Daphnia pulex: one gene and its partner. The protein of the gene in region 1 interacts with the protein of each later gene in a pairwise test. Links are inferred from orthologs where the notes say so. Each region holds a gene or a part of one and is shown in the gene's direction. Other genes may lie near its edges. The genes, in order: potential E3 ubiquitin-protein ligase ariadne-2-like and ubiquitin-conjugating enzyme E2 L3.

The links.
Region 2: the proteins of potential E3 ubiquitin-protein ligase ariadne-2-like (region 1) and ubiquitin-conjugating enzyme E2 L3 interact in a two-hybrid assay, tested with the Drosophila melanogaster proteins (2 studies listed by BioGRID). The link is inferred for Daphnia pulex from reciprocal best matches to the Drosophila melanogaster genes ari-2 and Ubc10.

What each region holds. Positions count from the first base shown.
Region 1 is NC_060023.1:7,785,100-7,801,029, forward strand, and holds potential E3 ubiquitin-protein ligase ariadne-2-like, read left to right. Parts: upstream 1-6,607; 5' UTR 6,608-6,816; intron 6,817-6,909; 5' UTR 6,910-6,915; coding exon 6,916-7,077; intron 7,078-7,145; coding exon 7,146-7,479; intron 7,480-7,542; coding exon 7,543-7,768; intron 7,769-7,828; coding exon 7,829-7,943; intron 7,944-8,011; coding exon 8,012-8,239; intron 8,240-8,305; coding exon 8,306-8,521; intron 8,522-8,588; coding exon 8,589-8,744; 3' UTR 8,745-9,022; downstream 9,023-15,930. Other genes in the region: general transcription factor 3C polypeptide 3-like, read right to left, coding at 1,517-1,572, 1,631-1,818, 1,885-2,150, 2,219-2,501, 2,564-2,655, 2,761-2,910, 2,978-3,060, 3,137-3,605; bromodomain-containing protein 1-like, read left to right, coding at 9,375-10,104, 10,178-10,473, 10,542-10,694, 10,757-11,073, 11,136-13,152, 13,219-13,361, 13,450-13,642; CCAAT/enhancer-binding protein beta-like, read left to right, coding at 15,201-15,371, 15,453-15,930.
Region 2 is NC_060017.1:3,010,835-3,025,544, forward strand, and holds ubiquitin-conjugating enzyme E2 L3, read left to right. Parts: upstream 1-7,439; 5' UTR 7,440-7,614; coding exon 7,615-7,641; intron 7,642-7,740; coding exon 7,741-7,836; intron 7,837-7,907; coding exon 7,908-8,036; intron 8,037-8,158; coding exon 8,159-8,371; 3' UTR 8,372-8,588; downstream 8,589-14,710. Other genes in the region: TLC domain-containing protein 2-like, read right to left, coding at 79-161, 253-470; structure-specific endonuclease subunit slx1-like, read right to left, coding at 1,406-1,960, 2,057-2,108, 2,191-2,366; sex-lethal homolog, read right to left, coding at 3,759-4,012, 4,277-4,437, 4,499-4,612, 4,678-4,853, 4,931-5,119; replication protein A 70 kDa DNA-binding subunit-like, read right to left, coding at 8,766-8,873, 8,938-9,062, 9,131-9,200, 9,263-9,346, 9,405-9,668, 9,729-9,863, 9,931-10,043, 10,128-10,227 and 6 more; ankyrin repeat and MYND domain-containing protein 2-like, read left to right, coding at 11,876-12,058, 12,122-12,287, 12,356-12,495, 12,582-13,238.

The sequences.
Region 1 (15,930 bases):
GGAAACCCCTCCGTTGGCTCTAGTCCCGTCATTGGTCAAAGTCATTTGGGAAATGTCACTGTAAGCAAGTTGTTTTAAAACAGAGGAGGATTCTAGAAAAGAACTGCTAGATGTTATCGGGAATAGCCTCCCTCTTTCTAAAAGTGTTCGAAGCGATCGATGATTTATGTAAGTTGTCCTTGTTTGATGACGATTTATTTACAAATACATTACAGTTCCTTGGAATTTTAACGAAAAATGATGCATCATATTTCAAATAGTGATATACTTGTCCAGATACATACGAGCAACATCGGAACCAGAATTGGAAAAATCAGCCGACCGATAGATGAGCGATAAATTAAAGGCGATTTCTCTGGATAAGTCGAATACATGAGCATTCTCTCCGCGTGTGACGCTTGGCTTGTGTTGCAGAGCTTTTTTACTAAAAAATAACACATTTTTTAGTTTAAAAAACGGCAAAATGTTATATAATACAAGTAAACAACGTTATATGTTAAATAAATATGTAATACAAGTAAACTGTGCTTACTAAAAGTCCACAGCATGAGCTAAAAGGCCAAGCTGATGCATTCCCCGGCCGATGTTGTAGTAAACCTCTTGACAGTCCCCTCTTGATTTCAGATAAGCATCGAAGAAGGAACAAGCTTGAGTAACAAGCGAATGCTTCCCGCTAGAAAACTTTTGACATGTCAACTGAACCAGGACAATTGCAGAAAGCAGCAAAAACAACGGATTGTCGGGATCAATTTTGCACGCCGACATATAAGCATCTATGCAAAATTAAGAACGATTAAATTTAATAAATCAAAATTTTGCTTTGCCATCTTACCTAAGGCGCGCTTGTATGTACCGCTGGCTAAACACGTGTGACCGTTCAAAACACTTAAGACAGACATGTTTGGGGTGTTTCCGAAGTAGCCGCACAAGAAAACGATTGTAGCGCACATCGTCCCCTCGCATGATAACCTGTTGAAACGAAAACGTCGAACCAATTATAACGAACGATGGTAAAGATAAGGTAAGTATTTTCACCTGAATCATGAGGTTCAAAGCTCTTTTGTTATCCAGGTTGTTACGTAAGAGCAAACCACGGGCTAGGTTATAAGCATAATACGAGTCGCCTTTAGCTAAACACACTTGAAGGGTGATGAACTGAATTTCTCTGCAAATTTCTCTCTTGCTTCTGAAAAGCGGTGACGTAAGAGCCGTAAAACAGATTCTCTCCAACTCCACCAGACGTTTCTCCTTGAACAGGTATTCACACGTTAGCCGGAGGAGTCGATATTCTTCTTCTAACTCGATCGACGATGCTCCAAAGTCCAATTCTTCCACGTCCGAATCTTCATCCGCCGACTCCCACCCTACTTTTTTGGCGCCGCACGCTTTGTTCACTTCGTCCTTGGATTGAATATTCGAGGCGTCACGCATCATCAGCAATTTGTAAGCCGCAACGAACTGATTCATTTTTCCTTCTTTCAAAAGCAAGAGGCACTTGTGATGCAAAACGCTGGCTTCAATCCGAGTAGCTTCCGAGTCTTGCGTTACAGCTTCCAAAGCTTCTTCGTCGACCTGTTAACACGGAAACGATTAGACTGGAAAACGATATAAGTTGTCTTAAGGTAGTTACCTAATTTGGTGAACAATTCTGCTAGAGATATTTTAGCATCCTCCCTTGATGGCACTAGATGAATAACATGTCGGAATGCCACGATTGCTTCGTCTGACCGATTGAGAGCATTGAGACAGTTTGCATATTTCAGCCAAACTTCAGCTTGAGAAAAGGATTTACTTTTTGTTAGGATCTCTAGCAATGTCCTGTTATGAAAAAAGAAATATGACAATTTAAAGGTTGCAAAATAATTACTTTTGGATTTCTCTTACAAAGCTTGTTGATGGAATTCTTTTTCTACTAGGGCCTCGGCAACGTCGAGGTGGATACCCCCAAAACTTTCGACGTCATGCTCCATAAAAGTTTCGATCAAAGGAAATGCAAATTCTTGTTTGTTAAAGTAAACCAAGGCAATGCAGAGCTTGCTGAGAATGCCTATTGGCAGTTCTTCCGTCAGTTCCATAGATTCCGTTTCTTCGAGATCAATTTCGTCGATTATGTTATTGTTAAACACCAACCCGCAATGTCTATTAAGAGTCTGTAAGTGCAATTAAATTGAATTCATTATTTCAGTGAATAGGTAACGGTTGAAAGAGTTCACCGAACTTTTATGACATCGAGATAATGTTTCGTCAAGATCTGGAGTTCCAATAAAAGGTTAAAATGATTCATTTTGAAATTATCTGCGCAGGTGACAAGAGCATTACTGAGCGCCCTACGCGCTGAATGCAAGTTGCCACTCTCAATGTAAATCCTGGCAATTTTTTCAGCAAGCTCGACCCATTCATTTTTCTTTTGTTCATTTTCCGGTTGGACACCTCGCAACATAGTCAGGCGAGCTTTCAACTGCTCTTTTTCAGCACCAATTGATTCCAACACCTGGCATCGACTGAAACACACAGAATAAAACACATCAGAAATAGTATTTAAATTATATTCTTTGTACGTTACCGTTCATGAATTTGAAGATTTGTAGGGTCTGCTTGAACAGCTTTGGCAAGGCATTTCTTTGCCTGTATCTCATCTCTTCGCTTCAAACACACCTGAAATAGAGCGAACAATTTTAGTATTGAAGTAGAAGATATCTGCATTCCGACGAATTTGATTTTCATAAAAAAAAGCTGCTTTATAGATCTAAAATATTTTACCTGGGCTAATTGTAACCATTCATTGGCCTGTTGGGGAGATTGAGGAGATAAATATGCAGCTATTAAAGATAACTGGTATGACATTTCATCATCTCTCTGGTCCTTATAGCACATGCTTAGAAATTGAAAAGGTTCAGCATAACTTGGGGCCTAAAAATATAAGTGAATGAAAAACAATTATATTAGCAAAACACCCACAATTTTATAATGAATTTACCTGTCTAATTATTTCCTTGCAGAGGTTGATGGCATCTTCATTCTCACCCCTTGCATATCTCAAGTTTGCTTCACCCATGAGACCTTCGTATTGGAAAAATTCAAATTTGCAGGCCATTATTGTAAACACATATTTAACAAAAAAAGAATATTTGGTTACCTTGTAAATGTGGTGGAAGTCTTTTTGTAACTGGTGTGCATTTTCTCTTTTTCACTGGGTTGGAAGATTCTTCAGGAAAATATTCTGGGTCATTTGAGTTTCTTTCCAGCACTTCTTCTTCATAATCTGTATCAGATGAGTCTTCCATGCCAGACTCGGAACCATCTGAGTTTTCTACTCTTGTCATGAAGTATTCAAACGACACTATTCCTTCCAGATAACCATCAGTAATAGCTATTTGTTCCTCATCTGCCTTTGGAATAACAGTATCATCAGTATTTGCTGGATGATCAGATACCATGTCTTCCTCTGAAATGTTTATGTAGAAGATTTCCCACAAGCCATTTTCTGCCGAATGTAAAGGTGTTCCTTCATTGATGATAGTAACTCTTGAACTATCACAAGAAGCCACAATAACTTGATCATCTGAAAGGAGCTGTGGTTGCACTTCTTCATCTCTGCTCTCCATCGTGAAATAATATAAAAATTCGATTCGAGTGAAAGTCAACAGCAAGAACAATTTTTCTTCAATTGTTAGATTGAAAAGAACGGTTTAGTTTAAAACGCTACTTCAGGGGCATCAGGGCCGGTCGAAGCTAACGTTGCATGTGTTCACACGAAACGCGCGAAACGAAACAGACGACGATCACGTGACGACTGACGATTGTGTATCATTTGTAATTTGTATCAAGCATGGTCGGATTGAATCCACTCCGCATGCTGCCCAATAGGCTCAGGGGTCCCAGCAGGGGCAGCATGAGGACGTTGCGGAGTGCATTCATTTCGACCAATCGAAAGCATTTTTTGCGAATGCCAATCAAAATAGAAAGTTGCTGTTGTTGTATTCCATTCCGTGACAGATCAGAACATTTGCCTATATTTCTTCGCCACTTGCAACCGTTTCTCCAGGACAGCAACTAAAAGCTACACCATCATAGTCGTAGAGCAATCTAGTTAGGTTATCCACAAAAATTTTACACTATTCACGATTCTGTTGCTTGTTGCTGATTTTGCATTTCCTCTATAACGAACAGATGGTTCATCGTTCAATCGAGGAATGCTGTTAAACATTGGCTTTACTGAGGCTCTATTATTACAGGATAAGTATCCATGTTTCATATTTCATTACGTTGATTAACGATTGATTATCTACCGGAGGATGACAGACATCTTTATGTTCTTAACTCATGTTCAGAAGATGGGAAACCACGGCAAATGGCTTTTTCAATCGACTATTGGTATAATTACAGATATATTAAATACTCCGCATTATATTTGTATAATTAATAGCATGTACCGGTATACTGTTCTTCAATTTAACATAATTACAGGCCAGTTCCCAGATACTTTTTCGGTAGAGTCAGCGCAATTTCGATCCATGATTTTCAACAAATCAACGTCTATTCAAATTTGTTCTGGGTCTTGGGTGGTGAGGACGATCAGTTGTATGAACGTATCTTATTTAATAACTTGACAGTGACCAGAATTTTCGACGACCAGCCATCGCTCGTCCATCGTGCACGATACAAGACGCTTTCCCACAAAAAAGCCGAACCCAATCCAGATAGGAAGAAGATATACAGCAGGAAGGATCACTTCGTTTCGAAACTGATGGGCTTTCCAATCTTCAATACCGGAGACCCGATTTGCAATTCAAAACCCTTTATACTCACATTCTTGTGGATATCCAGGAAAATATACAGCTAATATAAATTACTATGTAATATAATTATAGGTAACAGTATCTCGTCTCCCTAGAATTTTATCGAATTTCATCCGAATTTTATCTATGGACAAGGGGAGGCATTAAGTTGAGAGTGAAAGGGTGAAGAGGCACTTCACCTATTGTCGGGAGGGGAGTCTTATATTGTCCAATCAGTTCTTTCCTCTCCTGTACTATAAGTGACTATAAGTAATGTGTTAAAGCAACTTCGAGAACGCGCGGCGTAACGGAGCGCAACGTGTAAAATTTACGTGCTTTATAAAGATTTCGCCCTTTATGGGACCATGCCACAATTCCTTTGTACTTTGCACTTTAAAACCGCCGTGCTGTCGCTAGTGTAAAAGAATCTTTTAGTAATCAGTCAACGTGAAACTCATGTTCTGGCATATAGCCGAAAACGTTCCGCTCCGGAATGTATAACATTAACTTTATGCGAAGGCATAACATGCTAACATGAGCATTTTTCCTTGCATTTTGCACAGCCAGTTTAAAAATGGTTTTGTTTTACGTAAACTGTCAATTATAATGTTATTTCGTTTGTGACTGTGATGGTTATTTTTGCGTATTTTTGTTTTTTACACGCCCATTCCTCAAGAACGTCACTTTCTAATACGCCTACTAGGTCCATTTAAATCAACTTGTAGTTACTCCTCTGCTGATAGAAGAGGTCCTAATCAAAAGATCATCAGCTATTCTGTTTATGGCAACTTTTCAGGGCATGATCACATAAAAAAAATATATTCTTCCATTTAAAGACCCCCTTAAATTGATACCCTCGATATGGGGCTCTTCGGGATCTGTTTTATTTAGCCGATTTATCTGGCAACGCAGCATGGCGCCAGTCTTTTTTGAGGGAAGAACGGGGAGAAGAGGGAGAATGGGACGAGTGGGAGGGAGGAGGGCGTACGAAAAAAAAGGGGACCCACGTTTCCTCTTCTCCCCCATTCGTCCCATTCTCCCTCTTCTCCCCGTTCTTCCCTCAAAAAAGACTGGCGCCATGCTGCGTTGCCAGATAAATCGGCTAAATAAAACAGATCCCGAAGAGCCCCATATCCAGGGAAATATACATAATTTTTGCTATTTGGTAAAAAAATATGTTCACGTTGCGGGTGTGTTTCAGAAAATTGTTGCTATGGATCATAACCTAGCTGTGTTTAGCCCTACAGACTTAAATAATCAATGCCTATGCTATGATCCCTACAAAGTAATTCACTTTGCGTATCGAAAAATTATGTTTCTTGAAAAAAAATTTTGTATTAATTTTTGTTTTCCTAAATTTTAAAAGTTTCTGCAACCTTTGGCATAGTTATCAACCATTATCAAGATATCAACAATCTGGAGCCTCTGATTTTTTCCTAAATTTACAAGATTTATTATGATTATTGAAATTTAATAACGATTAAAATAGTGAGACAATAAAACGACTTACCTAAAACATCATGACTTTCATCACAAAAATTATGTAAGATGTTTTTTTCATTCAAAACTTATTCGAGAACCCTTTCGATAAGTTTTTCAAACCGCAATCAAGTAGAATCCATCTCCATCTCTTGATGGATAAAAGAAACATAAAATAGATTTCGGATTTCTTCACAATTTCTTTCTAAACACCGTCAGATGAAAACCCCCAAAAATTGAGATTTTTAGATAAATAATTTACAGAAGCATTTTTGTTCATTTTAATTAACAAATTATTGTTTTTTTCGTATTTACCCTTTAGTGTAACTTTCTCCCGTTCGAAGCGCTGTAGGTAAAATACGGATTTACAGAAGGAGAACTGAAGAAGGCCAGAAGCTGTGTTCGTGGGGTAGCTAATTGTAATTAAACACAAATTCATGGAAAAGCTTTAAAAATATTGGCGAACCAGGCCGTCCTTGGGTTTGATTGACGTCCATTTACAACCATTCCATCTTCGAAATAGTGATTCTCTTAATGTCGACGTCGGTGGCTTGAATCGGTAAGCACTAAGCAATTGCCAGGACTGCATTTTCATGTGTGGTATCCATTAACTCTCTATTGACTCAGTATTTTGTTTTTTTCTTTTTTCTAGTTCATCATGTCAAATAATGATAATGATTCTGATGTGGAATATTCTGAAACAGAAGAATGTGGTTATGATGATTACTACAATCCTTGTGATGATGCCGACAGTGAATCGATGAACCAAAAGAAGTGTGATCCTGAACATTTTGAATTTGAATGTCTAACGGTTGATCAGGTCAGTGTAACAAATTTATACATGCAATGAAATTGGAGAAATCAACTGTTTGTTTTTTTAAATTATAGGTGGATAGGTTATTGAATGAACTGGTTGAAACTTTAAGCAGTCGGCTGAGGTTGACACCGTCTCTTTCAAAACTGCTTCTACATGCTCATAACTGGGCTTTAGACTCAGTCATTAAAATGTATCTGGAAGATTCTTCTCAACTTCTAGTTCAATCTAAACTTAAACCAGATAAAACTCCTGTGGTGAAAACCTTATCCAAAACTCTAGTTTGTCCCATTTGCATTATTATGCTACCCAAAGATGTCTTTTGTGGAATTGGTTGCAGCCACCTCTTTTGCAAGGGATGTTGGAATGCTTATCTTGAAACTCAGGTCATGCATGGTGTGTCTACAGGTATAAATTTGTTAATCAATGTTATATTGAACAATTCTAACCTTTTTGTTCCTGTGTGAATAGCAACTGAATGCATGGGATGTTCTGTTATGGCAACAGAAGACTTTGTCTTGCCTTTATTAGCCACGCCTCAACTAAAGGAACGTTATGTTCGCCATGCCTTCTCCGACTATGTCAGATCCCATCCTGAACTGAGATTCTGTCCGGGTCCGAATTGTAACATAATTATACGGGCCAAAGAAAACAAAGGCAAGCGGATAGTTTGCAGCTCATGCAAGACGACATTCTGGTAATTTTATTTTAGAAACTTTCTCCATTTCGTTATATGAAAGAGCTTCTTATATTTTAGTTTTCGATGTGGAAGCGAATATCACGCTCCCACCGATTGTGAAACGATTCGACATTGGCTGACCAAATGTGCAGATGATAGCGAAACTGCCAACTACATCTCTGCTCATACTAAGGTAAGGATAACTCAAATTTTCATTTAAACGAAAATAATGCTCTTAACGGTCCATCTGCTTGTTACTAGGTGTGTCCCAAGTGCCAAATTTGTATAGAAAAGAATGGAGGATGTAACCACATGCAATGTTATGGCTGTAAACATGACTTTTGCTGGATGTGTCTGGGTGATTGGAAGACTCACGGATCAGAATATTACCGTTGTTCACGCTATGAGGAAAATCCCAACGTAGCCAATGAGTCTTCTCACGCTCGGGCCAAAGAAGCCTTGAAAAAATATCTCCATTACTTTGAAAGAGTAAGTTACTAGAAATTGGCCGATCAAAACTTTGTACTTTTATTGCTATTTTCGAATATTTTTTAGTGGGAGAATCATGCAAAGAGTTTACGATTGGAGGAGCAAACATTGCAACGGATCCGTGAGCGTATTCAGTGTAAAGTCATGACCGGCACAGATGGTACTTGGATTGATTGGCAGTGTTTATTGGATGCTGCCGCCTTGTTGGCACGCTGTAGGTATACTCTTCAGTATACTTACCCTTACGCTTACTACATGGATGCAGGTCCTCGAAAGGAATTGGTGAGTGATTCGGAAAACGTTAATGCCTTTTTACCAATATTAACGTTCCCACGTCTGTTTATGTTAGTTCGAGTACCAACAGGCTCAGTTGGAAGCCGAAATAGAAAATCTATCGTGGAAAGTGGAACGGGCCGAAACGACCGATAGAGGCGATCTGGGCATTCAAATGGACGTTTGCGAGAAACGGCGCACCACGCTATTGCAAGATTTCCTAGAGTCGTGAAATATTTGCTGGTTAGCAAATGGATTGAATAGGATTTGAAAATTTTTACCAACGCGCCTGTAACTACGGTCGATAGGTTTTTGGCTTTTACCTGTCGCTTTAGATAGGAATCGAAATTGCGATTGTCTATTGTCATTTGATATTTTTCGTCCTATACGTTTATCAGTTGTCCTCAACGTTTTTTGTTTTTCGTTTTTTTTTACTGCGAAATTTTCTTTTTAGTTTTGTTTCGTATTCCCATAGTAACAAATGAATAAATTGCATCACTGAAACGTTTACTATTTCCCTTTTTCTTATATTGTCTGAGCAATTTTTTATTAAATAAGGTGCTGGATACTCCGTTACCCTTGTTTATTAAAAAAAATTATTCAGCCCCATAAATTTTGAAATTTTTTTTTTTATCTTCCATAATTTAAGTGCCTAAGGGGTTTCTTTTCAAAAACACTTCTGTAACGAGTTGTAAAACGTTGGCGCCAGGTGTCTGGCCAGTTGTCATTTAGTGCGTGGTCTGAAAAACGACAACAAAAATGGACTAAATGTAAAACTTTGTTTAATATAATTGGTTTCTTGAAATAGAGAAAAAACAGTGTGTGAAACAATATAACATACTTGTTATTGTATTGTAATAAAATGGGTCTCGACTTTGACATTCGTGAGTTTCTTAACCACATCAGAGCAACTAAACCGCCGTATGAATGCCCCGCGAAAGACTGCGGCAAAATCTACAAAAGTTTCGCGGGCATTCAATTCCACTTGTTTAATTTCAATCATGAAAATCCTGGTAGTTCTTTACCTTCATCAGAATCACCACAGCAGGTTTTGACTTTTGCAGAAGCCCAGAAGATTGTTGAACTTGAAATTGATAGCAAACTTCAAAGGATAAACATTTTTGACTCCATAAGCTTTGTGGGCAAAGAGGACTATGAGAATGAAGTGCCTATGAAAAATGAAGAAACACCAAGCCAAGACTATGCCAAAACTCCAACAAGTAAAAGTCACACTCCAAAACATCTGCAGAAAAAGACCCCGAAGCCAGTTGAACCAGTGGTTCGCAAAGAAGAAAAAGTCTCCCCTCCTAAGCTGCCGGAGGCATCATTTTCCATCATCGAAACATGGAGCCAGCCAGATGCCCCAGAAAGACCAAAGTCTTACTATCGCTTCATTGAGAAATCTCCTGATGAAATGGAAGATGAAGTGGAATTTGATATGGACGAAGATGATTTTACTTGGCTAGAGTTGATAAACAAACAAAGAAGATTTGAAAACCTTTCTGAAGTAAACCCAGAATCATTTGAATTGCTAATGGATCGACTGGAAAAAGAGTCTTACTTTCAAATGCAAAGTTCTGGGAAAGATCAAGGTTTTTATTTCTATTTTTCTTTATTAAGTCTGCAAAATAAAGATGTCTAATTTGAGAAAAAATATCTAACTAGGACCACCTATCGATGAGGACGCTGAATGTTGCATATGCATGGATGGAGAATGCCAAAACAGCAATGTGATCCTCTTCTGTGACATGTGTAATCTCGCTGTCCACCAAGAATGCTATGGTGTCCCGTATATTCCTGAGGGCCAATGGCTTTGTCGTCGATGTCTACAGTCACCTTCACGAGCGGTTGATTGTGCTTTGTGTCCAAATCGAGGAGGTGCTTTCAAACAAACGGATGATAACCGATGGGCTCATGTAGTTTGCGCTCTGTGGATACCAGAAGTCTGCTTTGCTAATACAGTAATAACGTTCAATCTTCTCATATCATTGCAGAGATTACTAAGCATTTTATTATTATTATTATTCAGGTTTTCCTTGAACCGATCGACAGCATACAAAACATTCCTGCCGCTCGTTGGAAATTGACGTGTTACATTTGTAAGCAACGAGGAGCTGGATCTTGCATTCAGTGTCATAGGGCCAACTGTTACACGGCGTTCCATGTCACTTGTGCGCAGCAGGTATTGTTACGACTGTAATTAAAGCATATTTATCAAAATACTTACTTGAACTCTTCTAACAGGCTGGGTTACACATGAAAATTGACACGGCCAAAGACTCACCAAGCAGTGGACCCAATATCAGCATCCGTAAAGCGGCCTACTGCGATGCTCACACACCAGCCGATTCTGATTCAAAGCCATTGGTCGGTGATCACGGAATAGGTGAGGTTATTCGCAAAGCGCAGTCGAAAGCTGCTTTCCGCGAGAAAATGCGAAAGGCTCGTAAAATCCTGGCAGAGAAACGTTCTGCAGCTCCTATTATTTCCATCCCCACTATACCTCCTGAACGCGTCCAGGAAATCGCTTCTTCCGTTCCCCAAATTCAAGGGAAAATTCGGTATTTATATTATTGTCCTACCGCAAAATAAATTTCTGTACTAATGATATTGTTTGATCTAGATTTATCCAAAGATTGATTGCCTACTGGACTCTGAAACGGCAGTCCAGGAATGGTGTGCCTCTTTTACGTCGTCTTCAAACAAGCCATCCTTCGCGTAGGCCAGCATCTTCAGCGGCAACGGGCTCTGGGTCTGGATCAGGATTGGGCGGTGATCAGATTGTTCAGCCTGACGATCTCTTAGGCCAACTGCGTTATTTTCAACGACTTCGTCAGGATTTGGAACGAGCTCGGCTGTTATGCGAGTTGATTCGCAAAAGAGAGAAAACGAAGCGAGAATTGATGCGGATTAAAGAGAAGGAATTGGAACTCCAAATCTATCCGTTGCAGTATCTAATGCGACGTTTGTTACAAACTCTGAAGGAGCGTGATAACAACGACATTTTTGCCGATCCGGTTGACATCAGCCAAGTCCCCGACTATCTCGATTTTATACAACAACCGATGGACTTTTCGACAATGCAGAACAAGTTGGACGCTGGGCAATATCCAACGCTGGAAGCTTTCGAAAAAGATTTCAACCTGATGATCCACAATTGCACTGTCTATAATGCACAGCACACCATGTATTATAAGCAAGCAATCAAGCTCAAAGAAGGTGCTCAGGTTCTATTTAAACAACTTCGAAAGGATTTGGAAACATTAGTCATCAGCAACAACAATTGCGACAGTAGCAGCAACTTAACTCCACTGCCACCGTCGGAAATAAGTCAACCTGAAAGCAAAGTCGAAGAAATCGATAAGTACGTCTCGGAAAAGTATCGTGAATCTGATACCCTTGAACAGCAGCTTTCGAAACTCGAAGAATTCCTGCGTAAAGCTCAACAAATGCCAACTGGACCCCTCAAAGTTAAACGAATCCGAATTTTGAGAAACGAATTGGCCAAAGTTCGTAGGAAATTGTCTTTGCAAGCTGGCGGGAGAGCGGCTGCTACCCGGAGCAGCAGTAGCAGTCCATCGAAATCACGACCTGAAAATGAAACACGTGATGAAGGCAGCAGTGACTCGGATTCGAGCGGAAGTAGTAGCAGCGGGAGTAGCAGCAGCAGCAGCAGCAGTAGCAGTAAAAGCAGCAGCGATTCTAGTATTGCTGGTCCTCCAGTCAAGGCTTCGCCTCGATCCGTAGCGGCCGCCCGTCAACTAAAGATTGATCACTTTATCACCCGAACGCCCAAAACGGATTCGGATGAAAAGAGCACGCCATCCATTACAAATAAGAATCGATTAGTTGCTAAAGTCCTGAAACGTAATTCTACTCCGGCATCTACATCTATCGCATCGACCCCTGTTGCCGTTGCGGCAATTCCAGTAGCAGCAGTGCCAGTAACGCCGGAATTGGAGACGATCGTTCCTCCAGTTCCAGTAACTCCAGTAAAAATCAGCTCCGTGAATCCGCAACAGCTGACTGGGTCTCCATCGGGTGTCAATAGACGAACAGCGGTGCTTTTCACCAAGAAAGCAGCTGCCGCAGCGGCTTTCAAGAAGCCTGAACCATCCGGAAGCACTTCGCCACCTAGACGGGCAGGTGGAAGGCCGCGAAAAGTTTCAGAAAATAGTACTTCTCAACCAGGACCCAGTGGCACCAACACCAGTGCATCCACCAATTTATTTGTGGCAGCTGCAGTTGCAGCTACGGATCTAAACAAAAGGAAGAAGCAAAAGCATCCAGAAAGTGACAAGCTATTTGCTTCGGTTCAGCAGCCTGGAGCTATTCACCTTCCCAACATTGAGAGTGAAAGTTTCAAAGTTTATCGCACCAACAGATTAGACGACGAAGAGGATTCACATCGAGGATCGAGTGAATCGTCTGGGAGTGAAGGGAGCAGCAGTGGAAGCAGTAGCAGTAGTGATTCGGATTCTGGCGATGAATCTGATCGCCAGTCAAGTGACGATAGTTCAGCATCTCCTCCTCGACATCAGCATAGTTCTACTTCACTTTTGCCTTGTAATTTGATTCCACTACAGCCACTTGATCTCGTTTGGGCGAAGTGTCGAGGTTATCCCTGGTATCCAGCTCTGGTAAAAACGTATTTCTAGGATTTGGTACTGAATTAGTTCTAATTCGAGGTCTACATTTTCCATTAGATTGTCGATCCTTCCTGGCCCAGGAGTGGTTATGTACATAATGGAGTCCCCATCGCCATACCACCCGAAGAAGTTCTCTTAATGGGAGCTGGAGTTCAACCACCAGCCTTTCTGGTTTTATTCTTCGATGCCAAACGGACTTGGTTAGTATTCGTTAGTTTTATTTGCCACAGCTTAATTCTTTACACCAGACGCAATTGTGATAATGGCTGAATTTGTTGTTGATTACAGGCAATGGTTGCCCAGAGATAAGTTGGAGCCACTTGGAGTGGATCCTGATCGTGATAAAGCGAAACTGATTGAATCCAAGAAGCAGACGGAACGTAAGGCCGTCAAGAAAGCTTTCGAAGAGGCTATTTTGCACCAGTGTAGAGTGGCTGGGCAAAGCAGTGCCCTATCCGAAGATTCCGATTCGAGTCACTGAACGTTTATTTTCTTATTTTTAACCTTCATAAAATTCTTTGTTTGATAACCCATCTCGCTTTGCTCCATTTCATGCGAGTATTTCAAACACGTGTGTTCTCATTGATGCAAACTCATTTTTTTAAATAAAAAAAACGAAAGATTGAAATGAAATCGAATAATCAAATCTCCCTATTTTAAATTTTAAAAATATAAAATTGACACTATTAGAAAGTCCCAGTGGAATATGGTAATTTTTCTTGATTCGAACGGGTTATTGTTTCAGAACTTGCCCGGACTTGCTGTATTTTCGGTTTTCCCAAGCAGTTTGAACCGGTTTTGATCAACCAAGTCGACATGCAAGCATATAGCAACAGATATCAAACCACCAACAAAAAAATGTCGATGTTTTTTAGTAGGACGTCGTAGTCGTTATTATCTTTCAACCGAATTCAGCTGCGCATATTATAACAAAGCGACGACGGTTAAAATGACTTATGAGGATTAGACTTTATATTATTTTGTTTGCTTTCGGTCTGCTTTTTTCTGTTGAACGATAACATTCCGATGCGAATGACTCCGCCCATTTCCGCCGAAACTGGTTTGTGATTGGCCGACGTCATCCTGCCTGCGCATGTGCGTAGATTTTCTAGAAACCTGCGTTCTATGACGTCAGCGAGTTCTCGTTTGACGTCACGAAACCCGGACGGGAAAATATAAAAAAGAAACCACAAATCGGTCAACTCTTGTTTTTTTTTTGTGTGTTTGTTCTCAACACGTGAATCACCCTTTTCCACAGAAAACAAATTAAAAAACAACCACGACATAGGTTATTTTTCCAAGATAGACTTGATGCCTTCATGCACATGTGCGCACGATTCTACTTGAGACGGATCCTTGACAAAATTTCGATAATATTTCGTTAATTAAAAAGGAAACGAGGAGACGAAATCAGGGTCGTCGGTTGATATGCACGCGTTATCGGCAAGCATTAGTCACGTTGACGTCCAGAATCGGGGCTTATCGCTTGCACACGAAGTGGATGACATTACATTGACATCACTACTTTTTGTGCGTGTGTATTTATTCAAATGACCTCCACGGCCAGCAGAGAAAATTTCACTTTGCCCCTCGTTGATTTGCATTTTTGCTGACGAGTCAGTGTTTTTTCCAGCATTCCGCCTCAAACTAGTTCCAACTGGGAGTAGTAGAAGTATGGTTGACTTTGGTTTTCCCCAGCTTTTTTATTTTCTTATTAGGGATTTCCCCGGAGCAGTGACGTCACTATACGCCGTACCAACCGCCGCCATGCCGAGTCATTCGACGATTGCACCACGTCCGGAGGGGCGGAGCCAAATTGCGTTTCCAGTCCCCGGGCCCTCGGTATAATAGCGCAGTGCGTTTCATGATTTCATCATTCTTTCTAGCGACTCCGCCAAGAGCAGACACGTACACACAAGTCGAGGTGATCAGTGCAAATCCAAAGATCATTCTCGAACGCACAAGTTGTTGTTACACAGTGAAAGTTTAGCCCCCGTCTGTATACCAATTCACCCAACAAACCAAAAGCCGTTCGCGGTATGTCTTTTTTTGATTCCGAATTCTTCGACATCACCACCAGCGGGAAACTTGAGGGTCACCTATTGGACTACGATCATCCGCCAATGAGTGGCGAAATCATCCCATTTGCCGATCATTACGATTATTATCCAGAAACTCTGGAGGTTGCGGAAACTTCTATGGATCTCGAGGTATTGTCGCATAGAATCACCAACAATTATTTCACGAACGCCATACTTATCGTGTCATTTGTTTTATTTTCCGTGTTGAAGCAGGCAATGATAGACTCAAACATCGGAAGCGTCGCCGATTACTTATCGCATTCCGGCTCTTATCAGCCGCAGCCGATGGTGAAACGCGAGATAGCTCATTTGCAAGAGGATGAAGACAGCCGTTGTCTACCTAGCACTTTGACCGACGCCAGTGACTACACGTCGGCAATGATGCCCAGCCCTTACGGCACTGCCGTTTCCAGCCCTGCCGGACGTTCGACCACGAGCAGCTCGGCCTCGACAAGTCGTCGGTTCAAATCGGGCGGCAAGAACGTCAGCAAAGATAGCGACGAATACAAACGACGAAGGACTCTCAACAACATCGCCGTGAAGAAATCCCGCGAGAAGGCCAAAGCCGAGTCACGCATAGTGGCTCAACGTGTCACGGTCCTGTCGGCCGATAAGGAGAGACTTGAGAGACGTGTAGAGCAGCTGTCAAAAGAGATCCAGTTTCTGCACGGGCTCTTCTCCAAATTCA
Region 2 (14,710 bases), on another chromosome or scaffold:
ATACAATAAAGCAGACGTTCCATAGTCTCATCCGCCCGTAGATATAAACATGGATGACGCGCAAGTTACGTAACTCACCAACAGAAACGGATACCAATAAATGTGATGAAGTGGAATGTGTTCCTATTAAATCCTCTGCCATTTTTGGATGCCAATAAAAACTGCCAAAAAAATATGCATCATTCATACATCCTTCTTTAAAGCTTATGACTAGATGTTGCATAACAAATTCGTAGGCGTTTTATAACGTACCAAAGCATCGCCCAGACGCCAGTCAATATAGAATGAACCAATGAATTGCAAGTATTCCTCCATTTCCACGTTGTCTGTGCTCCTGATTTCAGAACGGAAGCTGGCGTGAGTGGTCTTAGCAGAACGTGTGTTAGGGCGAACCCTACAAAACTCACAGCTGAAGCAACAGGGCCATAAATTTCACTTTTAACGTCAATTTCACTTGGGATGTCTGCCATTTCATCAAAACGTTACGTAACTTCACAAATCACAATGGGTTTCAAATGTATGAGTGAACAACGCTGAAACATCGGAGAAAATCAGCGTCCGTCTGAACTCTTAACTGTTCATGACATTTAACTCCACCTTGTTGGCGTTATCTTGTGAGCACACGGTGTGGCGCACGTCGGTTGCCGCGCCTAGATATTTTCACAGAGCAGACAGCAAAGGTTTGACTAGTTTTGTGATTGGGAGGGAAAATCGAGCCACTCCCACTAGCGCTATCTAGGTCAGCTTGTAATTAGATTCGTAAATGGCTTAAACACACACACATATCTGGTCTCTTTTAACGCTGCCTCACTGACATATTCAATGGGCGATTTTTTGGCTAAAAGTTTTCAATGTTTTGGAATATCTTTAATACTTTAACGCCATCTAGTAATGATTTTACTTACTATCTCAAGCGTAGCTCACGGGGATGTTTCAGGGTTATGTATGTAGGTGACCGTGAAGAAAGATCGAACACAAGGTTGGGATGCGTTGAAAATGTCCCAGCGCATCAAGTGGGTCAAGGGCCGTCCTTTCGAGATACGGTTGTGTTCCAAATAGTACTATATACTGATATTGTCAATGACCGAGGCCAGGGCCAAATTTCAAGGACAATACTCGTTTTGAAGGCCAATAAATGCACTATCAAAGGCGCGCTCGGCCAACCGGCAACGTTGTTTTAAGGGAGGAAATTACGTGAATTCGCTCGTTCGTTCAAAAATTACACCAATGTTTACTCATGGAAATTGATTGATCTAATACAATTTTTATTTAAACAAAAGCGACAATCAATTACATTAGGATACAAGACATTTGTACTGCTTAAGAATTTTCATATGAGCAAATTAATACGGACGTAGCCAAAATGTTTAAACTGAAGAGAACAAGAATATAGATTTGACAAAATTTATGTTAAAATAGTTTCATCAAGAGCAAGATTTTGGTTTTGATAACAACCCTTGAATTTGCGAATTAAATCGGCCCATAATAATTCACTATGGCAACTTGGACATGATCCCTCCAATGGCAGCATGTGATCTGGTTCAGATTTCAAAAAATGTGAAGCAAGACACAAAATATGTGTTTTTAAGGTGCAGTCATTATTAATACAATTCAAAACGTCGTCATTATCCATTATCTGATGGCAAATATCGCACTTTGCTGAGGATGAGGATGATTTAGTCGAAACCTTTTCATTCGAAGGTGATGGAACTTTTTTGGAAATCACACGTCCTTCTTCTATGGGCATATGAGGTGGTGGCAGCAAACTGGTTTCGAACTCGACTCGATATTTTGGCACGAGCCATTGGATAGTTAAGGCGAGTCTGTTCCACGGTCCTATTCGCAACATATGAGACAGAATACGAATTTTGTGTTGAAAACTGTTTTCTTTGGCTCTTTTCCTTTCAATCAGCTTTCTCAATCTGCGAGACTTTTCTGGGTGTTGCCAGGCCCACTCAAACTAAATTGAAAAAGAATATTGAGTTTTATACTTGAAACAACTGTATTTGTATTATTTGATGTGCAGCAATCGAAGATGTTTTGAAAGCTTACTTACTCTGAGTCCTGAAATGTCATTTGGGAAACCATGAACTATCAAGCACATTTCCCTGAAAAAGAAAATGGTCAGTAATTTAATCTGATAAACATATTATGATTATTTTACAATTTAACAACAAAAACAACAAATACCATGGCCCTTTATTAGATGTTTTGTATGCACCTCCAGAGCGTACTCCTTTGTTGTGTTGTTGTATTCTACGGTTCGGGTTTACAGTGTATCCAATGTAAGTACGTCCCAAATACTTTGGATTCTCACAGAAAAGTAGATAAACACCGTAAAAATTTTCTATTACAGTACTGCTCATGTCTATTCACTGAAAGTGATGAACAAGAGTCTACTCAAGTCTCAGACGTCAATTTCAAACTTTCTTCTCGTCGTCTGCTAGAAAATACCTTCCGATTCCGACTAGTCAGTCACATGACTCATGAATCATGATCAGGTAATTTACAAGATGATGGTTATTTGGTTAAGCTCATTACCAGTGGCAAAGAACGTATTTTTAATGAGTTAAAATTAGTAAATGACTGTAGAACTCTTTAGTATACGGATCAACTATAAAATCATTTATGTCCGCCATCGCCAGCATGAAGCAGAATTGAAATTTATAAGCGACGAATTCTTATCCCATACACGCATTTCTTTGAGTATTTACTAGCAGTAATTTACCTACTACCTGTTAAAATAAAGAGCAGCAGACCAAATTTGATAAATAACATCATGTGGATAAACGTTGAGTTGTTCCCTTTCCTCCACCCCTATCGTTACTTCAGTATTATCGGTATTACACGAACATGTGTAATAGAACAAGCGGTGTCATAGGGTTTTTAATCTGAACCAAAAACGTTGAGAACAAAGGAGCATTAAACAATAAGTAGAGAATGCTGGAAGCCTTTCGAGTATCTACCCAATTCCTAAACAACGTTGAATACCCTTAATGAAAAATAAACTACAAATTTCTTATAACCACGGCGTGCAGCATTGAAAAGGATGATTCTCCCATTTCTCGTGATCGTTGTAACTGGTGAAGTGTAATCAACGCTTTGGCAAATGATTGCAGTCACAAACGATTGGGATATGGAAGGGGGGGAGAAGGATACAGTGTAAGGGCGGGCCATGGAGACAGACGTAGACAAAAGGGAGTAAGAGAGCAAGAGAGAAAAAAAAACAAAATCACCAACCAGATAACATGAAACTAAACTGGACCTTGTGGGAGTCAAAATATGATAAACGATCTTCTGGAGCCACTAGAAAGCAATGAAAACGGCCAAGATTGACCGTGAGAAGAAGAATGAAGTGAATCGAGAGGGTAATACACGCGTTCAGGAAATCTTGCAGGCAAGAAGGGTTCAGATTATAAATGATGCAGAAAAAGAAAAGAAATCATGATGGGGAACACAGAAGTGTACGAAAAACTCGAGTCAGACATAAACCCTAACGAGCGAAAATCCAACCATTTTAGCCAAATGACGACCGAAGAAAAAATATGAGAAAAAGAGGTGCATGATGGAGAAGTGGAGGAAGGAAGGGGAGTAATTAGGTCAGTTAAGATTGATAACAAGCAGAATTGGGAAAAACATCATGTTCCTCCAACTGATGGCGTTGCAACAATGTTTTTTCATTCGTCTGCAGTCGGTAGTTCAATTTAGTTTCAGTTCTTTTTTAAATCTTCCGTCATCTTATCGTGCCCTCTCATTGCTTAGTTCCAATTGTAAACGTTGTAGCCGCCACCCATTCCGATGGGATTGTAACGGCTGCTATTAGACCCTTTATCCGGTCGAACTTGTCCCATGCCTGACGAGTGGACGAAACCAGGAGCATTCGGCGGCCGCGATGCTAACGGCAGACCGGCGTTGTAGTGTCCACCTCCTCCGCTTCGGCCACCATGACCACCCCCATGTCCACCATGGTTAACCATCCCACCTTGGGGTTGTCCTCCAACATTACCAACTGCTAAGACAGATATTTGGAATTATTAAGACAAGTTCCTGAAGAAAACTTGTAGTAGCAAACTAATATTCCGTTTCTAGCAGATTATTTAAACGGAAGGGTGGTTTGGTTTCTTGGCCAACGAGACTTGGATGCATTACAATAGACACGCGTTTTAAGTTACAACATGTATCAGTTGCAGGATTTTGCTTCGTCTCTCATGGCAGCTCATGTGATCCGTTCAAGGCAATTAAAATATATATTTAAAGAAAATGTCGATGCACTTACGTCGCGCTTGCTGTCTTCCAGCTTCCCATCCAGCAAAATAAGCTGCCTTCTGTTTGCCGTGCTCTTCAGCAATTTTTACACTAATGGGGTTAGTACGTCCATGTGGGATTGTACCATTCAGATGCTCAATGGCAGCCATGGCTTCTTCTCTCTTATCAAACCTGAAAACAATTTGATTTTAACATCATACATGATTAAAAAAAGGTGAAAATAAATTTATACCTGACAAATGCCACACCCCTGGGCATACCAGTTATTTTGTCTTTGAGTAAATTCATTTGCACTATATTTCCATGGGCAGAAAATATATTTGTCAATTCATCTTCTGTAACATCTCTGCTTTGGGGAAAAAGGAGATGTAGTTTTGACATATAAAGTTGTGTACCCAAAATTCTCATTACCTAGGGAGATTAGTAACATATAGATTGGTTTCCTTTCGGTCTTCGCCAGGTGGTCGGGCATACGATACTTTGATACGTTTATTTTGAATTTGAAGCCCATTCAAAGTTTGAATAGCCCGGATAGCATCATCAGCTTTTTGATAGTTGACGAAACCGAATCCGTAGCTGTATCCAGTCTATAATTGGAATAACATTCATTTTGTTCAAAAGATATCAGATGATAAGTCCAATTTATGAAATTGATTATAGTTACCCGAAAATCTCTCATAATTTTGCAGTTCGTCACCGTTCCAATAGTGACAAACATCTTAAAGAGTTCGCTCTCCGTCAGATTCTGAGGCAGGTAGTTGATGATCAAATTGGTCCGCGACGAATCATCACAGGAACTACCAGGGTTGGGGCTGGACGATGGAGTGTGATCAGATCCAGTAGCTGATGCCATTTTCTTGCAGTATGGTTAGCCTTTCTTTGTGTTTGTTAAGATTTTCTCTCTCACGCCCAAAAGCCTGGCCGTCGCAGGCGGGAGATGGCCAACAACAAAAAAAAGGCAAACAAAAAATAAAATAAAAGCGCCTGCCACAAGCCTGGGCTTGGAGAGTTCTCTTAGCCCCCCGTCACGGATGCACCTGTTCTCCAACAAGAGCCAAACACAAATTTGTGAAACAATCGTCAATGCCTAAGACAATTTTTTGATTTGATGTGTTACAGCTTAAAGGACTAACAGTGAATGAATGCTTGTAGGAGACACATGGCTTTAGCACCACACACAAATAAGTCTCAGGTGTAGCGATCTCAACTACAAGATAAAATAACAATCTACAGAATAATATGATGTCGTAAATTGAAGCTGTCAGTTAAAGAATATACTTAAATAGTACAAAAACACTGACATGTGATGTGTACTAGAATGAAATGAAGTTTGAATGGAAAAATTCTCGTCAAACAAAACTTCAACTCACTTTTAAGACTACTTGAATGGAATGTTAATATGGAATTTTCAGCTAATCAACAGCTATTAATGAAACAAATATTAGTGAAACACTATCTGGAGGACGAGCAAGGTCGTTGATGGCCAACGCACATGTGAAGGAGTCGACAGCATAAGCCTTTCTTGTTTTGCTTCACACCTCAATCTTTAGATGTAATTGAATTCGACACAAGAGTCTAGTTATGACAATGACTCGATCACGCTGCGACACATAATCCAGTAATGATAAAATACCTCGTAAATTACCGTTGATAGGATAGAAAGTATCGTGAAAAGACGACACACCGGGTTTTTCTTTTCTTAGTTTTTCTCGCTATAATATAAATCGATTTTTTTACGTTGTCGATCATTGCGGCTGCAATGCCAGATTATAATTTGTTCTCTTAAAAATATATTTTATTCAATTGCAGCCACGTCACTTGTGAAATAGAGATTTATAAAAATATTACTTACTACGTTATTTTTTATTTTATTTCCTAGAAAAACAATTTTATGCAATTTAATTCGAAATGTTGTCGTTTGGATTGCCGGCTGTTCTTTGACAGACCTGAACAGACGATGATGAGTCCAAAGCCCAAAGGCACAAAATGTAAATACTACAAAAATCCCGAATTAATTTTATTGAAAATACCGAAGGCAACACTTTTTAAACGTGCTTAGTCTTATCTAAATAAGAATAAATTAATTTAAATTTTTTGCACGATGAATTTTGATTTTTAGAATGCATTTTAAATTCGGCCGAGGCCCCGAGCGATTGCCAGATTGGCAACTCTCAGAATCTTCGAAATCTGGGAGAATTTCACATAATCTCTAGAATTTAACAAAATTTACCTTTTTCTCACCGTTAGCAGGCGCAAACCGCATTTTTTTATTGGCACCCCTAGGCCCTAGCCAAATTTGGCGAACCTTTGATTCAGGATCTTGTAGCATCTCGTAGAATCTGAAAAATTCTAAATCTTCGCACATTCCAGTGATGCCCCTAGTAGCGAAATTTGGGTGAAACTTTGATTCGGAATCTCTTAAGAATCCCGTAAAATTTCACAGAATCTAGCACCGCTAGCACAATAAGAAAGATACCGTATCTTCGTTCACCCAGATTTTTAGTTTCCAAAAAGTCAAACCTCATCACATTTGTGACACGTACACATACGGACGTGACATTTGTTTTTCTTCCCGCAATAACTACGACTCTTGCCACTTTATTTCACTTTAGCCACATCTGTTAATAGTTCAGCCACAAAATTATAGATTTCAAGTTAAGAAACACCGCCGTTTCCGAAACGACAATGATTCCCTTATATGCGTATGATTGCGGGTTGAACTGTATATCATGAATTCGCTTATCGTTATTTTCGAAGATCGACTAAATGACTAGTCACCACCATAGGATAACCTACGTACACAATAAGTAATCAAATAAAAAAAAGCTCTTGGACTAGATCAGGCAGACAAACAGCAGCTTTAATTTGTGACCTAAATATAAAAACAAATGTACTTCGCGTATTGCAAAATTTATGTTGCAAATAGTGCTTCCGAATTTTTGCCAAAAGATTAATTTTTCGCATTTTTATCTCTTTATTTGATGTTGTTATTACGGCTCTTTATTTAAATGACAGAAAGACAAGATTTTTTTTTACCTTACTCTGAAGTCTGAACTGTGCACAGCAAAATATTACGCGCATGCGCTTTTGTTTGGTTATTCCAATTTTGAAAAAATCGTATTTCAGGAAACATTTTTTCACTTAAGATGGCTCTGTATGCGGTACTTTAACTTACGTGCTTTGTGTATGGCCTTGAAATCTACGAGGCCAACACAAGTTTGCAAGCAGGCAAGCAGCCGTTCACAGCAGCTCTTTTGTGGAAGTAACTTCAGATATTAGTAGTAAATAATTTCAATAAATCGCTAAGTAGAGTAATATTTCAGTAATTGATTGATTGATTAAATTGAAATGGCGGCAACTAGAAGACTTCACAAGGTGAGTTGAAAGTTATCTATATTGCATCACAAATTCATAATCTGTAGTGATAATAATTCATCTGTATAAACATTTAATGTATTCTCTGTGTGGTCAAAGGAATTGGAAGACATCAAGAAGTCTGGGTTGAAATCTTTTCGCGACATTCAAGTTGATGAACAAAACATTTTGACTTGGCATGGACTTATTGTTCCTGTGAGTCTGAATTTTTTAGATGAATATTGATTGAATTACCTTGGTTACAAGCCATCATATATTTTTCATAGGAAAATGCTCCCTACAATAAAGGAGCTTTTCGGATTGAAATAAATTTCCCTGCTGAGTATCCATTCAAACCACCAAAAATTGCGTTCAAGACAAAAATCTATCATCCAAATATTGATGAAAAGGGACAGGTAAAAATTTCAATGTTAACCTTGTAAATATCTTATTTGTCTGGCAATTTCTGTTAGGTCTTAAAAACATTTGCCTTTTGGAATTTTTGCCATACTTATTATTGTGTGTTTATTTCTTTCAGGTCTGTTTGCCCATAATAAGTGCTGAAAACTGGAAGCCTGCCACCAAAACTGATCAAGTGATACAAGCGCTGGTTGCCTTGGTTAATGATCCAGAGCCTGAACATCCACTTAGGGCTGATCTTGCTGAAGAGTATTCCAAAGACAAAAAGAAATTCATGAAGAATGCAGAAGAGTTTACAAAAAAAAACAGTGAGAAGAGACCAAGTGATTAAATGTTTTCTGTTTTCATCATAAACACTTGAGAAGAGGCAGAGTTAAAATTTTGAACTGGTCCCCCCTCTTTCCCTCTTCACTTCATTGTAGAGCAGTGAGAGCTGCACTGTGATCTTCATTTATTTTCATTTCTATCTTTGCCTCTCTTGATGGTTGAAATATTTCATTGCACATGAGCTGCGAAAAACAATACATTTGCAGTTGTCTGAAAAATTATTTTTTGTAATATCCATGTTTATTTTGCAAATCATTTATTATCATGTTACACACACGGTTTTTCCGGGATCTCGATTTGATTCACAAGAACAGGAATTCATAAAGAATTGTTCCTGTATAATCCGAAAATGAAGGTTTTTTATAAGTTTAATAGATAAGGAGCAAGGGAAAATCCATTCATTCTGATGCAGCCATTTCTTTCATTTCTCGAATCAATCGCTCGTTGTGCTCTTTATAGTTGATTTCCTTCACTTCATAGACATTTGTTTTGAGGCGGCTTTCATCCTAAAGAAAAGGTAAAAGCGTCAACAGATAACAAGATCGAAATTCATAATGCTCATAGACTTACATTGTACGTCTCCATTTTCACTCTCAGGCGGAAGACATACCACTTAAAAGTAGCTTCTTCGAAAATTTTCTGAAATTCGTTATTATCCGAATCCTTCAATCTACCGACCTCGTCTGCGGATTTCCCTAAAATTTATAATCAAATAAATAAATATTATATGCTAAACGTAACATTAGTTCGAAAACAAAATTACCAAGAAGAGTTTCAGCGGTTTCTTGGAAGCAGGTTACCCATTGCTGGTCCGTGGCATCCGCGATATTGACCTATAACAAATTTCGAGTGCTGTTTTGAGAGAAATAGATTTCATAAAATATCTTTGTCATACCGAAAGCATCATGCGCCATTTGAATTCCTGGAATTCGCGCTGGCATTTCTCACATCGATAGAGGCCATTGTTTTGATCGATGACCTGCGGGAAACGCAAATATTGTCAAAAATGAGTTGTTTTATTATATATTTATGTTTACCTTTTTGTTGCATTCATCACTGGGACAAGCCATGTACAACGCTCTTTCTTTGTTGATCATAGCAACCATAGCCTTAACACTGTAGAAATCAGGTTTATCTTTTCCCAGGTTTTCGAATTTTGCTTCAGCGAAAGTCTTATACGACCCACCACTACCACCAGTGCCAGCGCCACGACTCGCCGAAATGCTAGAAGCGGCCGATGATGAGCCACCGTTATCGTACCACCCTCTTAGTTTGTGAGCTTCATTCATGTCAGGATTGATCTATTAAAAATATGCGCTGTAGAATAGTAGAGAAATAGAAAGTCTTACATTTGATTTTACCTGCACGACAGTAGACGAGACTGTTCCTAGAGAACGACCTCCAAAATCAGAAAGTTTCACTCCTTTTAATGCTACAACAGGCTGGGAGCTAGCGTCAAATTCCTCGCCCATTTTTCCCCATAAAGTCAAATTAACCTGATGTTTGAAGACAAGAATGATTAATTAACTGGGCTCGACAATTAAACGAAGAATCCAGTCATACCTCTGTGTTGGTACTGTCCACCATCTGAACTTCTCGCATCCTCAATTCTTTATTTGTCGTTTTGGAAACGATAACGCGGACGTCATTTGCTGACTTAACCACACCAATGACATCTGAAAGCACGGTCAATCGGTCATATCGTAGGCACCATTCAAATAGAAGAATTGTAATGTTAATGCACCTAAAAGACAACTTACCAATAACACTGTCCTTGTCCAGGCTAGGTAGCTGATCAATGGGAACAAAGTTGAAGGAGATTGATGGGATATCTGATGTATCATCGTGGCAAGGAATTACCTAAAAAATAAGTAAAAGAAAAAAAAATTGAGGCTGGTACGATTGACGATTGAAAAACATTCATACTGTAGTATTTTGGTTGAACGACATTTCATAATCGTTCCTCATACTGCTGTACTGTTTGTTTGCTGCCTTCAGTTGTGCTTGTGAAATGTAAAAGATCTTGCCGATCTACAACGAAAAATAACAATGTAAATAAATAACTTCAAACACTGTTTTTGAATTAAATGTACCTCAATCATGTGGTAAAACTTGTCACACTCGGCATTGAATGCAGTGGCACGGATTTCACCAGTCTCATCCACCATGTCCATCGAGAAAAGCTTTCCTTCACCTCGAGAATTGCTCCACGTACGGATATCGGACTTGTTTATAATTCTCACTTTTACAGTCCACCTACAAACAAGCAAAGTTAATGATTCAATTTTTCTTGTACTGAAATTTCTCAACAAACATACTTGTTTTGGTAGGGTGTAAGGCTTACAATCGGATGGGTAATAATGTCAGACTTCTCTGTTGGCTGTCCATATCCACCAGTTTTGTTAGGTGGTGCAGACTTCGATCCCATATTGTAATTGTTCACATTTCCTAAAGGTGCAGGTTTTGCTGCTGCCTCTTCAGTAACCTCTCCAACATCATTAAGAGTCTGAGGGTTTCCTATTTTTTCTCCAACCTAAACAAAAAATGTTCAAAATGAAGAGATATCCTTATTTGTATTTCGAAACTAAGTAAAGTGAACATACTTCACTTCCAGGCACAATTGGCTCAACATCCAAAAGAATGATAATTTTCTTTTGGTCCTTGCCTGCAGTTGCCTTAGTAGCAACTTTGTTAACAACAAACTTTTTTACTCTAATGATGGTAAAGTTCTCAAGCTGACCATCCACAATCAGATGATTTAGTTGTGTTGCCAACATTCCATATGCATAGGAATACTTTCCATCAGAGATGAGAATTCTGTAACGGTCATTATTGTCTCCCTGAAGATTTTTGTAACCCTATTGTAAGAGAAGAAAATGTAAAAATGCTGCAAATGAAGAAAAAATCTTGCTCGTTGCTTACCAAAACTTGTAGAATTGGAGTTTCATTGTGCAGGCCATTCCCAATGATGGACTATGTCGAAATAAAGATATTTATAGTTTTATTCAAAAATTCGAAATTATGATTGATATTACCGGAATTGCGCCGCTGGTTAGTGCTGGGTGATTTCTTCTGTTCATTTTACGGAACCTTTTTTAACGGGGATTACTTCGTTCAGTCAACGTGCTTGAATTTTTTTAAGCAGTTTTTACGGACAAGACGACGAAGTGCGATGGCGGGAAAACAACAGTGGTACAAACGAAACCAAGGCTGAACGTGCAGCGTTGAATGTTTAAGAAACTTTTTAACTCAATGAAGACCACTAAAAATATAAAGAAGAAAAATAATGAAAAAGTTTTTTTTCTGAAATAAAGGTTCATACGAAGCAAAAATAAGTTTTCGTTTTATTCGCATTTTTGGCGTTGTTGGATTTTTTGTTTTTCGAAATGTCCGGTTGTTATAGCAACAGTTGCAGACGACAACGGAAACTATATCGTTATATGAAAATTTGTGACTGAATTATTTGATTTCCTTCAAAAACGAGTTAATTGCCAAAGAATCTCGAAAAATGATTTCGGAAAACTTTATTAAAGCTATTGACAAGATTAACAACAATGATACTAGTGGTTTGCAAGAACTTATAAAATCCCGGGACGTTGAAATTGACGATGAGGATGAGCATGGAATGACATTACTGCAACATGCCGCTTTTAAAGGGAAAAAAGATATTTGCCAGTTGCTCCTTGACCTGGTAAGTCTAACTATATTATCAATGTTGTTAATTTGATTGAAAAGTTGACTTTTTTTCTCGAAGGGAGCTGATGCCAATGGAGGTCATCATGAACACAAGTATACTTCCCTTCATTTTGCAGCTCTGTCTGGAAATTTGGATATTTGTCAACAATTACTTCAGTGTGGTTGTAAACCTGATGTGGTTAACTCAGTAGGCAGAACTGCAGCTCAAATGGCTGCATTTGTAGGTAGGCTAGTCAATCATAATGTTTGTACAAATCATCCAAAACTAAAATGAATTATTTTGGCAAACCAGGGAATCACACAGTTGTTTCCATCATCAACAATTTCATTCCACGCTCAGAAATAGAGCAGTACACTGTAGCTCCTAGCGATCAAACTGAGCCAAAATTGCCACCAGCTGCTGCACCAGCTTTGCACAAATTTGTGATGCAGGTTGTGCACTTGAATAGACACATCACTTCATTTCTTATTCTGCCACGGAAAAGCACTTGAACTTTTTGTTTTGTTTGATTTATCAGGTCAATCTGCATCCAGTTCACCTTTTGTTGACTATTCAAAAACTTCCTTTGCTTTACGATAACCTCACAAAAGTGAAAAACGTCTTGGAGATACTTAGCGAAAATCAGATGAAGCGCAGCCAAGAAGTCAACGAGATCCTCGCACTTAAATACCACTATTTGCGTTTCCTAGTCGAAAGAATGGCCAAAGAGCAGCAGCAGCACCCCGACAAAACCGTTTTGGAGTTATTAAATCAATATGTTAAAGCATTTTTGAAGCAACGTCAATCCGATGGTTTTCCCGAGTTTATGGACAACTTCATCCGCGAGTCGATCCGCACTTTCCCTTTCAAGGAGACGACCATCTTCCGCCAGTTGCTGGTCAATCTGTCCAAGACAAAAGAGGAGACTCCACTAGCTCTCAATCTTCTCACTTCCTGCATCAACGGTCAGCGTGGATTTCAAGATGACGACGCCTGTGCCACTTGCGGCCAAGAGAAGGTAGCCAGCAAGTGTTCCATATGCAAATCTGTGCAATATTGCAACCGCGATTGTCAAAAGTTGCACTGGTCTATCCACAAAAAGGAGTGCGACAAGTTGGCCAAGCAATTTAAAAATTTGGAAATTAAATCTCAAGACTCCGAGGCGAAGGCTGCCGATCCGGAAACCAGCAAATAGAAATTTTGATTATGTGGGGGTTTTTGCATGATCGAATTCGATGTATGTTCACCCCGTACGTTTCCTTTTTAATCTACAATTGTCTACAGCGGACCCCTGTTTGCTTCCATATTTAGCTAACCTATTCAGTTGTCCAGTCTTTTACACTGTACGTGCGGTCCCATTGTTTTTATATCGTGAAAAATCTGCTTTGAATGGCCCCCATGTTATCGTCGCATTCATCCCACACAAATACAAACCTTGTCATGCCTCATTTCTAGTGTATTTCTTTTCTTAGACTAAAAAACCAGCCACTAGATGGACATTGTTCTCTTGTGGCCCTCCTCATCCACATATTGCTACACTAAATCTTCAAATGTCTACCCTTCACTAAGAAATATTTCCCTCTCACCTCAAAACAAGGAAATACAAATTACGCGAAACCAATCGCTGGTTTTTAATCGACGAATGATAATTGAAAACTTGTTGTAAGAATTTATCGTATAGTTTAAAGAAGACAATAAGTGAGCCAGGCTGCAATGAATGTAATCTCTTTTTGATAAAACCAACCAAAAGATAAAACTAGCAGCAGGTTTTTATTTCCCCGAATTAAGTGTCGTTGGTTTTGCGCGAATCGGTTTCAAAAAATGCCCGAAAAAAATGGAACTCGAGAGCCAGTTGGTTGGACGTGTACAGTTGATGACGGAAGCGGCGGCACCGATCCAGAAGAAAACACACACACACATGTGTCACTTTTCTTTCATTCCGATAAGCTTCAATGCCTCTGTCCAGGGGTTATTTGCCCTCTTTTAAACATGTGTGGCGACGACGATCTAAATAGATATGTGACTGCTATATACCACCGAATGCTTTTACATGTATATAGCGCTGGTGATACAATATTTAAGCCTTCATTTTTGTTGAAAAAACCAACGAGATAGGGCAAACTATATAGCGATGAGGGAATATACAACCGTCAAGTCTGTAGACGAAATTGACACGGAAGTGAACTCAAATGAAGTTTTGAAGCCGAGAGATCGACCATCCTGATAATATAACGTAGACACCAGTTATACTGCCCTTCATTATAAAGATCATCATTATAAGGTGCACAGTGAATTGCTGCTGGTGCGCATATACTAGTACAAGGGTTTTTTTTTTCGATCCGTATCGACAGCAATGAGCTGCTTTTGACCTTCTTCTTCTTCTGCACATTTTGGTTATTAGTTGCTGTGCAGTATCACTGGGAAAGTGGCGGTGGGTTATCTCGGTCTGGATCTCTCGGTCAAATGATCAAGAAACGGCGACATCCATCCATCCATCCAGTTTTCTCTCTCTATGTACTCGGAAGCCGGACTTGTAGTTGAAGGAGCACATATAGAGCCGTAGAAGGAATATAAGGGTCCGACTTATCCGCACGACTTGATTTGTCAAACAAAAGGAGATGGAACGAGAAGGGTGTCTCTTTTCTCGATCTTATAACTGCATGCGGC